2 linked regions of the Caenorhabditis elegans genome follow. The protein of the gene in region 2 purifies or fractionates together with the protein of the main gene of each other region. This does not show direct contact. Each region holds a gene or a part of one and is shown on either strand. Other genes may lie near its edges.

Region 1 (7,907 bases), on a different chromosome or scaffold from region 2:
AAAACCATTCCACTTTTTTGAATGGTTTAGGCTCTTCAAAGAGGCAAATGGTGAAAACTATGTGTAAAACAGAAATTTCAAATTTTTAGGAGAAACAATTTGTTTAATGAATGAAGTTATTTCATTGTTGGAAGCATGAGTTTCTGATAATTAGCGTCAGTGGGGATCTTTTCCAAATGCACCAATAATGATATAAAATAACCATATTAAAACACTCCAAAAGTTTTTAGATTAAAAAAAAACTTCCAGTCAGTCAAAGAAGTTTTGGCTAGTTGCCAAATTTTGGAAAACCTTTTAAGAAAATCCAGAGCAATGTCGCAAGAGTCTACCCTTATAATGTTTTAAATCAACTAAATAGAATACAATTAAAGTATAAAAGTCGTCGAAAAAATAAATTTTTTTTGACCTGCTTCCAAAATTATGAGAGGCAAAAACTCAGTAATTGCAACTTTTTGAGAGTGAATAAAATTTCCAAAAATTTTTTTGGAAAGATTTACTATGATAGTATGCCAACTTCAATATACCCCACACTTCTTTCCGCGATATTAATCACAGACACGTGTCACCTACGTGTAATCACCGATGATCATCCAGTAGTGCATATGCCAATCACGTCAGAGTTGACGGTCTCTCATGCTCCCATAATGCTTAGCTCGATTCATTTTTCCGTGCCTTCCGGTCATCGTTTACATTGTGTTGTTGCTGCACACTGCTCAACGCCTTGGGGCGGCGCGAAAATGCGGGAGGTGCAGAACCGGAATGATTGGCACTGTATTATAAAAGTACGAGCAATGTTCCGTCGACTTGGGACATTCTCAATTACACCACAATTGAGCGTCATGTGGAAGTACGCGGTTGTCTTTTCTGCTATTTTTCTCATCCGTGAGTAGGCTTTTTCATTTCTAATTCATTTTATTGTTTTTTTTTAATTTTAGATATTGTGGATGCTGGCTTCCAAATTTCACAGCTCAAACCATTGTACAAAGAGGATAATATTACTATCAGTGAGCTTTCCACAGCACTTGGAGCAGCCTTTCCACCATGTTGCTCCGATATCATTTCGAGCATTGCCTGTAGAAGACTTCAACAGCACAATCCTTCGAAGTTCCTAGACAGGTTGGTTTTTTTTTAAACTTCATTAATTGTTTCAAATGCTCTCTGAAATTAAATATGAAGTTCAGATGCGCTACTGACGCTGATTTCTCTTTGATCCAATGTTGTAACACTTGTGGAATGGAAAGCGCTGCCGATAGATACGAGCTCATTTTCCAAGCCGGCCACAAATCCAACCAATGTTTCGACCGCCATGGATCAGAGTTCTGCAAGCGATTTTTGAAGAAGGAGGATGTTTGGGGAAAGGTAGGTGACGCTTTTCTAAATGTTTTCTAGACCACTTTTTTTTTGCAGTCTCAATGGTCTTGCGACGGATCGACTGCACATTTGGCGTTCCGCATTTGCAGAAAAACTTGCAACTTTTGCCGCAGAGATATTTATCGCACACCGCTCGGTCGATTTGAGCCAGTGTCTTGTGGAAAACCACCAGTTCTCATTCCGAACTAAATGTCACACTGGAAACGTAATTTATTCATTCTTATTTTTTAATATTTCTTACTCATTTATTTATTTATCTATTCAATACTTACTAATCTGTTGTAATATATTTTCCTAATTTCATGACGAAAATTAACGAGATCTCGATCGAACCTTTTTAAAATTCCAATTTATTTATTTTAATGATTAATAAAATCTTCACAAAAAAAAAGCTTGGACTTTGAAATTCGTAAAAATGACAATCTTATCAAATGATGGACACTTTTGAGATAGTAAAAAACAGAGTGTAGAGGGCAATCTTATCTCTTCTCTCCATCTTTTTCCATATCGATCTTGTTCGATAACCAGAAAAAGTAGTGTTGTAGATAGTGCGAGCCCCATTCTAGGTCTATTACTCTCTATTTCTCACTATGTGTTCTCGATTTTTTGGCCAAAAACGTTCGTTTTCCAAATTTCTTCAAATTTCTCCACAAGTTAAGGAGGCTCTAGCTAGCGGAGAAGGAGTTGTCGCGCTGGAGAGTACAGTGATCACACATGGACTTCCTTACCCTCATAATTTAAGGTAGTGAATTGCAAATGCATTTGAAACTATTAAAAAATTATTTGCAGTACTGCAAGAAGTTTGGAGCAAAAAGTTCGATCATCAGGAAGTCATCCAGCTACGATTGCGTTATTTGATGGAAAAGTAGGTTTTTTCGCTAGAACTTGTTTCTGAAAATTTAAATTATTAAATGATACTTTTATTGCTGCCACGTTCGTTTTTCTAGCAGACTGCGACATTTTATACCAATATTTTCATATAAAACAATAATATTTTTTTATTCAAAAACTGCCAAAATTAGTGTTTCATCAACTAAAAATTCTTAGGAATTTTTGTGAAAACTTAAACGCTATAAAATTAAAAATCATTTTTTGAAAATTTTAAATAGTGTATACCTAAACATTTTCATTTTATTCAGATTCATGTTGGATTGGATGATGAAAAACTGGAACTTCTTGCTTCAAGTCAGAATGCAGTCAAAGTTTCCTCCAGGGATATCGCAAAGACACTGATTAAAGTAAGTTTGATCTACTATGATAAATTTTTCAATGTTGATTTCAGAAAGAAGTTGGAGGAACTACAGTAGCTTCAACTATGAAGATAGCACACGCAGCTGGGATCAGTGTATTTGCAACAGGTGGCATTGGTGGAGTACATCGTGGTGCAGATCAGAGTGAGTTGTTTCATGTGTTTGGTGTTTTTTTTTTGACCCGTGAAGTTTTAGGAAAATTGTTGAATTTGGACAATTTTTTTTACCATTTATTCAAGTTCTTTTTTTTCCGAACAGCAAAAAAATTTTCCAGCATTCGATGTTTCGGCTGATCTTCAAGAACTTTCGCAAACTCCCGTGTGTGTGGTGTGCTCTGGAGTCAAAAGCATTTTAGACATACCCAAAACTGTCGAATATCTTGAAACTCATTCCGTGAACTGCATAGTTTATGGGCAAGAAAATGTGTTTCCAAGCTTTTTCACTAGAACATCAGATAGAAAAGCTCAATTCTGCACTGAATCATTGGAAGAAGTTGTTCACCTGTTAAGTGAGTTGATGAAAAATATTGGTTCATGAAGTAAAGTCATGAAGTGTTTCAGAAACCTCGAAATCTCTCGGATTACCTTATGGAACTATTCTGGCTTGTCCTATTCCTGAAAAATATGCAGCTGATGGAGATGCGATCCAGAAAGCAATTGACCAAGCTGTTCAAGAAGCCATGTAAGTTAAAATTTAAATATGTTGCACTTTTTAAAAATATTTTTTGAAAAGTTCCCTGTTTTGCTTCAAAACTTTACTTTCAGTGAACAAAACATCGCTTCACAAAGTGTCACCCCATTCATTCTTGCAAGAGTGAACGAGCTCACACAAGGAGCTTCAATGGCTACAAGTATGCGTTTTGAACAATTTTTCCGCTGTTAATTGTCATTTTACAGACATTGCACTTCTCGAGAATAATGCGTCAATTGCTGGAAGACTAGCCGCAAAGCTCTGCGATAGACGTCCACTTACAATTTCACAGAGCCAACCAACTGCATCAACGACTCGAAAACCAAAAGTGGTGAGTCAAACCTACAATAAAGTTTTTTTTATTCACTTGCGAAATGTGGTATTGTTCTCATAAAAGTTTGAAACAACACAAGCTGTCTTAGCAAACAACCAACGCCTACTAGTTTCAATGACATTTATTTGTCAAACGTATCAAACAGATCACGACTGTTTTTCAGGTTTCTATCGGAGCAACTATCGTTGACTTTGAAGCCATCACGAGTGAAGATGTAAAGGTGAGAATGAAACAAAGAACAATTGAAAATGAGCAACAACAAAAAAAATCAGAAAAAAACATTTGGGGAATGGAGTATACCAAAAAAAAAAAAACCAAAAAAAACATGACAATTTAGAAAAGAAAAACTTTTGAAAAACACGTAAAAAATTATGATGAAAGAAACTTAGAGATTTGAGTGGTTTGCGGATTTTAAAGTGATTGAGCCGTGGAAAGTTGTCTGAAGGGGACCTAACGGTTCAGACATGGCACAGAAAAGTAGACACAAGTGAAACCGCCATAAAAAATTATTGAAAAAATTTTGAAAAGTTTCATTACGAAATTCGTTTATTTGAGTTCATTTTATTCGAAATTTGCATTATTAGATCAAAATTGCCCAAACCGTTTAAACTCATTTAAAAACAAAGTTAGAGAAAAATAATATACACTAGGTGAAACACTCTCGACAATTTGCTGCAACTCATCCACCAACTGCTGCAACTTTAGCAATGCCAAGCGAAGAAGTTGCTAAATTTGGGAAAAAGGTTGGATAAAATTGATCAAAGTAGGTAAACTTAGTAGAAAGTGCTTGGCCAAAGTTGTAGATATGTTTCTATAGTTCGTAGAAACGTTGCAAAAGTTGGTGTATAAGTTGTGACAAATTGCCGAACTAGTAAGATTCATCAAAATATTATTTTACCAACAACATCTCTTATACCAACATCACACCCTTGCAAACACTTTCACAAAAACCCCTGAACTGTCGGAATGAAAAAAGGAGAAACTGAACTGAACCCCCAAAAATTAAAACTGTTCAGTAACAGCAGCCGCCTCAAGTTGTCGTGCATTATGAGCAGCAATCGCTTGTTGTAGCTCTTCCCGAATTTCATCCCCACGGACCGTAAATTCGTTCTCCACCTCCTCGATTACAGAGTGCTTCAAGAAAGGTGAATATCCTGGGAAACTTTTAACGCGGCTGATTCCTGATGTTTGGGTTGACGTGCTGTCAGCCAAGTTGATATTGCTCTTGAAGCTCTCGATGTAACCATCTCCATGGCGGTCACTGAAATATAATTGTTGATTATTAATGCTCCTCAAGTCATAGTTATTACTATTCATTAATCATCTGAGAGTAGTATTCAAGTTCCGCCATTTCTGTTTCAACTTTCTCGATATCTTTTCGAAGAGCTGCGATCATGAACAACTTCAGCGGCGTGATCACACAAAAAGCAAGACATCCGACTATTTCTGTATTGGAATGGAGCCATCTGCAAGATTTTTTTGTTCATATAATTTCAGTTTTTCCTGAAAGATATGTTACCTCTTGAGATGAATATAGCAGTCATTGGAATGTCCAGTTGGGCAAAACGATTTTGTAACGTTTAGAAAATCTGAAATACAGAATTTTATGAGGGGAACAACTGTAGAAACTAGATACCTGCACATGTTTGTAACACTTCTTCGGGTGGGCAGCAAATCAAAGTCTGATAGACGTTATCCCAGACAGAGCATAGTTCTTTCTGAAAATTAATAACACGTGTTAAAAAATTACACAATTTATCAAAATTTTGCATGGTGATATTGAAAAATCTGAAAATGTTTTCAGTGTTCTAGTATAATTTTCAGCATTTTTGGACTATAATAAATGTAATTAAAGTTGATCATAATTGCAACCGAATGTATTCAAACTTTTTGAAACAATTTAGCAATAAGAACTGCGCCGGGAGCGGAAAAGTCATGAGATCCCAAATTCCACGTATATGTGCTAAAATGTGTAATCAAGACCATCTGATTTTTTTTGGTCAGAGTGATAGACTAATAATTTGGTAGGCTGAACTAGGCTGAAAACAATGCTGCATAGGTTTTTTGTCAGTGCGAGTTTTCAAATCATTAAAAAGGAGGTCTTGTAGAAATTGGACACACTGTATCAATAATTAGTATTCCTCAATGAGTTTAATAACTCCTATTTTTCCACGTTTTGTTCTGCACAAACTGTACTGGTTTAACTTTAAAAAATCAACCTAACTGTATACTTGGTTTTTCTCCCGGATTTCAAAATCTTGAATACTTACACTGCTATTGTGAAGTACTTGAATGTGGGAATATAGCGAGGTGTGAGCTGTGGACATGATGCTTGCAAAAACGAAAACCATGACAGCATCCACAATAAGTGTACAGCACTTTATCCAATGACAAAAAACGACAACGCCAATTTGTCTTTTCCGAATTGCAACAATTGATGCGATACACAAAAGTGCCTGAAAACAATGGTTTTTGATGATACATAGTGAAACTATTAAGTTCGGAGCTTTGCACTACTCACCAAACAAATATTGATGAAGCAGTATCCAAGAACATATGGATCATTCTTTTTGATAGGAATCAGCACGAATAATGGGCTTGTGAGCATGACAATCGTGGCGCCAAGAAAGAGAAAAACGGCAAGCAGGAGTATCATATTGCTCCCATAAAGCCATGCCGCTTTACCAAACCGCATGCTGAAAACTTGTTATAATTATGGCAAAGTGATTCTGAAAATCAATGATGAAGGTACAAAAAACAGGAACGGGGAAAGATTTTTGAAAAGAAAGACGAACAGGAAAACACACACCTCGCACATGTTTGTTTCTTCTTTCTCTCTCTCTCTACGAGGATTGATTGTGAGAGAAACAGTGCTGATGGCTCGTCTGTATGATTGATGAAAAGTGGGAGGCCAAGACAAAAAAAGAGAAAGAACAAAATAAAATAAATGAAAACTGTGTGGCAGAAGCTTCCGGCACACTGCCAATCGGAGAGCAAGCTTTCTGATTCATTGCTATTTGAACAAAGTATCAATGCGCTACTGTCACACATTTAAGTGATCGCTTCAAAGCACATAATGTTTTTTTTTCTAAAGAATTGAGATTGAGAATTTGATATTGAACTCCAATATATATAATATCCGGTAACACTTAAATGATTTCAGGATGATGGCGGCTCATACAACGGACAAGTGGTACAGCGAATGGGAGGAGTAGCAAGGAATCACGCGGATGCATTAGCAAGGTCAGAAATACTCGTAAATTAGAATGTCATCGCTTGTGCGTCGCGCTAAAAGACGCACCACCACTTTCACTTTTGGCACACAGTTTTCATACATTCACAAGAAATCGAAATGATATGTTTTTCTTCCTGACCATTTTTGTTTTGAATTGAAGAAAAAAAATTGCTAAGAATTTGTAGCGTGGTCAAAGTACAGTGCATATTGGGATAAATAATTGGAATGATGTGAAAATGTAGTGTTCAAATGAGGGGTGGGTAATTGCCGTTCGGCAAATCGGCAAACTTGCCGGAATTGCTCAACTCCGGCAATTTGCTAATTTGCCGTTTGCCGGTATCAGTTTGCCGGAAATTTCTAAAAGGATTTTCGATAAGGCGAAAACACTGAACCGTGCCATTATGAAATGTTTTCCTGTTTTTGAATTATATTCACATATAAATTGCTTACTTTCAAAATAGATGTAGGGTGATCCGTAGGATGCGTACAATTTTGCGGTTCAAAATTTAAATGTGTATAGAGTTAAAGAAAAAATGTGTAAAACCTTAATTTGCCGATAATTTTTGGCCATTGCCGTTTTCTGGCAAATTCGCCGATTTGCCGAATTTGGCAAAAATTTGAAAAACAGCAATCCACCCCCGGTATACTAAACCAAATACAGAAATACAAAATGTCATAAAACTAATCAAGTCCATTTGCATTTATGGACTTGTGGCTTTCATTTTTTGTTCAAACCAAAAGCACAAGCGAGACCTTTTAACTTCTCATCACATCAAGATAGTACAATGTCACTGTAAACTTCAAAGATGACCGACAACACAATACCACCAAACCTGATGCTCAAACGAAAGTAAATGTTGCCGAGGTATTTGTGTGGATCGCAAAAGAGCGAAAAAGTAATTTGAACTCGGTCTCTTTGGAATTCGATTTTTTTCTGCTCTTATTTTGACAAACATCCCAAGATCGTTGTTCAGTTTTGTAATTGTTTTGTGTACGATCAATTGTTTGATTGACTTTTGTCTGATAG
Region 2 (6,465 bases):
GGTTCTTTCTGATCTAGATATGTTAAGAGTCAGTCAAGAACCTGGAAGCCGGTTTCGTTTCCTTTTATAGGTGGAAATTTTCTTTTTCCAATTTTTTCTTTTCCAATTTTTTAAAAATTATTATGGTATCCATCAAATTAATGATTTTCAATTGTTTTGCCCACAAGCCATATTCTACACCTTATACCAAAAATTTTATTTAAAATTGTTCAAAGTTAAATACAATTAGAGACAATTCTCACCGTTTCTTCCCAGAATCAAAACTTCCCAGTCGAATCTACTCATATTCTCTTTGTCTAATTCCCGCTCTAAAGGTGAAAACAATCGTAGGTCAAATTCTCACTCCCGGAAATAGGTGCACATCGCCACACTAACACGACACCTTGGCACACAATTGCGAGATCAATTGTCTTCCCAGGAGAACGGCCCGCCCCATTTTATATAGGTTATATCGATCTCGAGGGGGACCATATAAAAGGGGAGGGTCCATGATCATTGCGCGCTAAAATAATGTTTTATTTTATTGAGTGTTCATTAGGGTTTTCTACTGATCCCATTCCAATTCATATTAAACTAGACTAGTCAGTCTCTCTTTTTTCATTTAGTCTTCAAATCCATTCTATTGCATTCTTTCATTCAGGTATACCTAGTTCAGTCTAGCTCCAAGTCTCCTGATGTGCGTTGACGTTCCATGTGAAAACTGCATTGTTCGCAATGACGGGCTCCGGCTGAAATGTTCTGAATGTGCTGAAGGATCCTCGAAGCTATTCCCAAGGTTAGTTGATTATTTGTGTTCGATATCAATAAATCCATAATTTACAGACAAAACCGTCAACACTCTTCTGCGATCAGCCACATCTCCAACTCATCGCCACCCACTCGGAAACGAAGCATTGATGGAGGATATACATCTGGAACGGATTCTGCGAATACTTCTGAAATTGTGATAAAGAAAAGACTAACTTTCTCAAAAAAGAGCCATTCAACTTCGGAAATTGAGACATGGAATGCCCATCTTCAAGTGGATTATCATTTGGAAACCGTGACGCCTAGCTGTTCTACCGTATACCAAAAAATCACTTCTGAAACGTTAATTGAAATCATGCAGAAGCTATCGCAAATTGAGTTTATGCAGAAATATATTCTAATTGATTGCCGATATGATTATGAATATAATGGAGGGCATATTAAGGTTAGTTTTTGCCGTTTGTACTACGTTTCCAGACTCCAAAGTCTTAGTGTGTACCTTTAAGTTTACAGTAACCCTCGTAATTTATATTCTCTCTTCGTGTCCGTGTATCATTTTAGTTTTTCAATAAATAGACTCTTTCGAGAGAAAATGCCATATGAGAATGGGATACTGTACTTCTTAAAACTCGTACTTAAAGAATCATGAGTCCGTTCTAATGGGTTCTGTCAAAAACAGAAAACACATTTAATTTTAGAATTAATAAAAAATCTACTTTCCTTCGTGGCAAGACCCTTCCAAACCAAATCATGCGCCTTTAAGTGTGCGTTTCAGAAAAAAGAATTATAATAACTGTTTTGAAAAAATACCAGAAAGTTAAAACTGCAAATCTTTTCAGGGAGCTCAAAGCCTGTTCAATCCAGAAACTGCTGCAGACTTCTTCTTCAACAAAGATGGTTCCAAGAAAATCAACCGGATACCCATTTTCTACTGTGAATACAGTCAAAAACGTGGACCAACCATGGCGAACAACCTTCGGGAAGTGGACAGAAAACTGAATTCAAATATCTATCCGAGATGTGATTATGAGGAGATTTATTTGTTGGAAGGAGGTTATAAAAACTTTTACGCTTTCACGCGGGGATTAGAGAAGGAACAAAGAGTACAACTCTGTGAGCCAGATAATTATGTAATCATGTTTGATGATCGTTATAAGGCTGAGCTTCGGAAGCACCAGTTCCATAAGAAGAATGTTTCGAAGCCAATGAAGAAATGGAGTTCAACAACATCTGTGATATCTATTCTAACAACTTCTGGAACTCGTATTTCGACACTTCGTCAGACATGTGATCCCATCCATGAGCACGATGCGCATTAAGAATATGTAGTTCCCGGTATCTTTTAAAAAGGATAATCAAATATTTTGTACTATTTATTATGTTTAATTATAATTACTAGTATCCAGGATAATAGGATGTAAATTAACTTTGATAAATAAACTGAATGATTTGTCAATAAACTTTTTGAATTATCCACAGCATCCCTGAGTTCTTGGGTCTTGTCCAGATCGTTTTGTAATGTGAAGCTTCACGAACTCTTCAGAAGAACATGGATGAATGGCAATTGTGTTTTGAAGATCAGACATTGAAATTCCAACACGGAATGCTACTGCGTAGCCTGAAATAATTTAGTGCAATCGGTTAGCTTTTAAAGTTTTCGTATCTTGATCGATTATCGAGGTTGTTAGTATTACCTACCCGCAGAATATTGTGAGTTGATTGCCAAAAGTACGGTACCTGAACTTGACACGATAAAATTTTTTCGCGCCTGTAAAGAATACTGTAGTTTCAGACTCTCGATTCTGCAGAAATTTTGTAGATTTTTAAAGCTTTTTGATAAAAATTTATTAATTGTCTCAAGTTGTGATTAAATCTTTAAAAAATCGATAAAAATTCTACAGCAGCGAAAGTTTAAATTTTCAGTATTATTTAAAGGTGCACACTTTCTTTGCATTAAAAATTGTCGTATCAAGCCGTATTTTTGGCGCAAAAATAGCAGAATTTTGCGTATGTGTAATATTATTCATTCAATAAAGAAAAAGATAAAAAATTCAAAATAACAGATTTAGCACGTAAGTTTTTGCGAACAGATTATGGTTTTTCGAACATTGTTCCAAAATTGAAGGTGTTCAGAAAACATTTTCGTGACGGGCGGGGCGGACTATTTCTCTTTTTGAATCAATTACCTTGAATTACTTCTGCGGCATTTGGTCCAACAAAATGAAGACCAAGAATTTTCTGCGATTCATCTCTTGTACACACGGCTTTCACATAACAAAAACCGCTATCCTTATTCTGTGGCACAACATACTCAAACGGAGTAAAATGAGAATGAAACACTTCGATCGAATCTTCTCCATGTTTCTGAATGGCTTCTTCCTCAGTTAACCCGACGGTTGAGAGTTCAAGAGGCGTGAATACTGTAGTGGCAACTCCATCGAATCGAACTATTTGTTTGGAATTTGAAAAAAGACGATCAGCTAGAAGTTTTCCGGATTGAATAGCAAGTGGCGTGAGCTCTTGGCGATCCTGAATACTATCATTTTTATTTTAAAAAAATGTTACTTTTTTTATCGTACCTGAACAATATCTCCAACGGCATATACACCATTACAGGAAGCTCTATCAAATTCATCTGCTAGAATCTTCCCAGATCTCTTATCAGTCCTCACTCCAGCATTATCCAAATTCAAACTTTTCAAATTTGGAACTCTACCAGCCGCCCAAATAACTGTATCATATTCTTCAACACCACCATTTCCAGTGAATGTAACCTTCTTCTTACTGCCAACTGCTTCTACACGTTCTACTTCCACGTGTTCCTTAACTTTCACTCCAGTTGTTTTCAGATGCTCCATGACAAAATGCACACAATCTCTATCAAAACCCTTCAAAGGAATTGATCTCACAAGAACTTCAACATTTTGATTGAATGCAGAAAGAAATCCAGCACATTCCAATGCAACATATCCTCCACCAACAATCAAAGTTTTTCCGGGAACTGATGCCAGTGTAAAAAGATCGTCTGAAGTGATTCCAAGTTCAGCACCAGGAATATTTGGATATTTGGGACGGAGTCCTGTTGAGATGACTACATTCGGTGCGGAAAGAAAATTCTGAAAATCTAGGATGAAATTTTTTAATTTTCCGTTTCCTAGCAATATTATTATTACCTAAAGTTTGCGCCAAAAATGCGGTACCAGGTCTCGACGCGACAAATTTTTGTCAAATGCGAAAAGTTGTGCCTTTAACGAGTACTGTCATCTCAAACATTTGTTGCTACGGAATTTTTATAGATTATTTTTATAGATTTTATCACAACTTGTTAGAATAAATTATGTTTTTTCGGAAAACTATATTGTCGTGTCGAGACCTGATACCGTATTCTCCTCCGAAAAGCCGCAAAACTTTTGGGTATACGGAACAAATTTTTTAAAACTTCTTTTTTCATTTTTCCAAACGTACCTTGGTTTTATTTTTGTCTGTACCAGTTATCACAATCTTGTCTTTATCCACAAACTCGGCATAGGCATTGAAGTAATTGATTTTTCTAAATTTCATAAAAATAAAAATTTCCACAAAATTAAAAAAAATACTTCTGATTTAATTGAACTCTATAAATCCAATTGTTTGCTTTTACTCGATCATTCACATTCTTTGACAACACATTCCAATCATGTTTGATTTTCTCTTGATCTATGCCATTCCAGCCATATTTGTCTGCGTGTTTTAGCTGGAATTTTGAATTTAGTGCTCTAAATATTTATAATATTATTCCTGCCTCTTTCCCGACGATTGCTGCTTGGTGCATTAACTTTTTAGGAATGCATCCGACATTTGCACAAGTTCCTCCGATTCCCCATGAATGTCCATGTGGAGTTGGCTCAACTGCATCAATTAATGCCACGTTTGCTCCAAGATCAGCTGCTCTTTTAGAACAAGAAAGTCCTCCAGATCCTGCTCCAATTACAATCAGATCAAATTTATTTGATGAGAAGAGACGCCTGATTGGTAGATGTCGTTTGAAAGTGGATAGAAGCATCAGAAAATTGATCTACAAATGATTTAAAGTTGAATTTCAATTTTCATTAGATTTTTGAAATCGCTATCGGATATTCGCAGATAATTCATTAGAATTGGATATTTTTTAAACAAATAACATTGCTTTTAAAATGAAAATTTTAATCTCATACTATTAATTCGTTTTTATTTTTATTAATTCGTTTTCAACACAAAATGGTACAGGGAATAAAGTGTATTATAATATTGTAGATAATTATATAGTACCGGTGAAAACTAGGAAAAATGGAATAAAAAGAAAATAGAACAGTTGAATAGCAAAGGAATGAAAAGTTGTGAATTAAGAGGGACCATAAAATGTGATACTATAGAGAATCAAGTTTGTAGACCCAATTTTCAAGTTCAATTGAAAAAATCAGAGACGACGAAGATTTCAAAAATACTTGGCTCGTGGTAACTTCATTCGACGTGCTGATAAGTTTTCCAAATTCAAGAGCAAGGTTTTCTGAAATGGAAACGTTTAATAGAAATGATGTTGAAACATTGGATTATACCCATTTCATATTTTAGTCCAATTGAACTGACGATTGTCTCCTTTTGAACAATTGGAATGATTCCACACATTTTTGTTGTCATTTCAAGATTGACATCAAGATTTGAATCCCCCTGAATTTAACTCTTAATGTTCACATAGGCCTGCCAAGGATTACTGTAGGAACAGCGAGAACCAAATTTCTAGAATCCAAAACGATCACAGGAGTTTGAGAATCAACGAATCTTATTAAAGATGATAACGTTGACATGGTGTGATCAAATCGTCCATTGAGACCTCCTAGAACAACGATATTCTCGAATTCCCAGCTTGTTAGTGTTTTCTGCTCTAAGCACCACTGAACGCTCTTCGAGAGATCTGTGTAGTCTTGATCAGGCAGATGGACGACTCTAAAACAACATTAAGAACAATTTTCGACAAAATATTTTTATTTTTTTAGTCCTGAACACAGAATGAATAACATTTAGTTGGCAAGCCAGAAATACCAAAAAAAGTGCAAAATCATTATTATGACCTGGTCAATACACTCTTCTCAACGAATTGTAGCTTTCAGTCTTCCAGTATTAAAAACACAACTCAATAATATTTTAATTTTATTTTCAACGTTCACGCCTATATATTCTTTTAGCTAATATTCAACAGCCGCTACAGTAATAATTCTTTGTGATCACTACAGTAACCCTACAGTAATTCTATCATTGCTCATTAATAGAAGATGTTATCAAACATGAAACACGATTACAATGAAGTTGAGTAATGCCTATATTAATTTTTAATTTCAGTAGAATTTAAACTAACTTTGCATTTTTTGTATCAATCTGTTTATTTATTGAATCGAAATCTCCGCAGATAATATGAGGCCATTCGACGAAACTCTTTCTGAAATCCAAAACTCGGTTTACGATAATTTTCAATTTCTGGATCCTAGATCACCTTTTAAGAATCTCATTAACAGCTCCATCAGTTGCAACTCGATATTTGGCCTTATTCCATAAATTTTCAGCGCGATTGCTGATTGCCGTAGGTTCACCGTTAAGCCAAATACATACTGATGCACACGAATCCTCTAAAATTTCGAATGGCTTCAATTTCTTTGACATTTCTCTGCAAAATTTTTATTTTTTGTAAGCTTCCACTTGTGATGA

Evidence for each region.
Region 1: the proteins of trxr-2 (region 2) and T24C12.3 fractionate together in Caenorhabditis elegans (co-fractionation; one large-scale study listed by BioGRID). This does not show direct contact.

Annotation. Positions count from the first base shown.
Region 1 is NC_003284.9:2,197,894-2,205,800, reverse strand, and holds the start of T24C12.3 (Carbohydrate kinase PfkB domain-containing protein), read left to right. Parts: upstream 1-1,907; 5' UTR 1,908-1,961; coding exon 1,962-2,113; intron 2,114-2,160; coding exon 2,161-2,236; intron 2,237-2,510; coding exon 2,511-2,609; intron 2,610-2,653; coding exon 2,654-2,765; intron 2,766-2,895; coding exon 2,896-3,129; intron 3,130-3,181; coding exon 3,182-3,302; intron 3,303-3,385; coding exon 3,386-3,471; intron 3,472-3,517; coding exon 3,518-3,642; intron 3,643-3,808; coding exon 3,809-3,865; intron 3,866-4,647; coding exon of another isoform or gene 4,648-4,906; intron 4,907-4,955; coding exon of another isoform or gene 4,956-5,111; intron 5,112-5,164; coding exon of another isoform or gene 5,165-5,234; intron 5,235-5,281; coding exon of another isoform or gene 5,282-5,363; intron 5,364-5,915; coding exon of another isoform or gene 5,916-6,101; intron 6,102-6,166; coding exon of another isoform or gene 6,167-6,340; exon of another isoform or gene 6,341-6,361; intron 6,362-6,808; coding exon 6,809-6,888; intron 6,889-7,907. Other genes in the region: T24C12.4 (ShKT domain-containing protein), read left to right, coding at 840-882, 936-1,116, 1,182-1,359, 1,408-1,560; T24C12.1 (Tetraspanin family protein), read right to left, coding at 4,648-4,906, 4,956-5,111, 5,165-5,234, 5,282-5,363, 5,916-6,101, 6,167-6,340.
Region 2 is NC_003281.10:8,912,105-8,918,569, reverse strand, and holds trxr-2 (putative glutathione reductase 2), read right to left. Parts: upstream 4,802-6,465; 5' UTR 4,790-4,801; coding exon 4,529-4,789; intron 4,481-4,528; coding exon 4,344-4,480; intron 4,298-4,343; coding exon 4,213-4,297; intron 3,864-4,212; coding exon 3,327-3,863; intron 3,277-3,326; coding exon 2,934-3,276; intron 2,366-2,933; coding exon 2,217-2,365; 3' UTR 2,111-2,216; downstream 1-2,110. Other genes in the region: M-phase inducer phosphatase cdc-25.3, read left to right, coding at 675-775, 823-1,192, 1,587-2,066; tpk-1 (thiamine pyrophosphokinase 1), read right to left, coding at 5,133-5,272, 5,322-5,433, 5,478-5,709, 6,119-6,199, 6,254-6,420.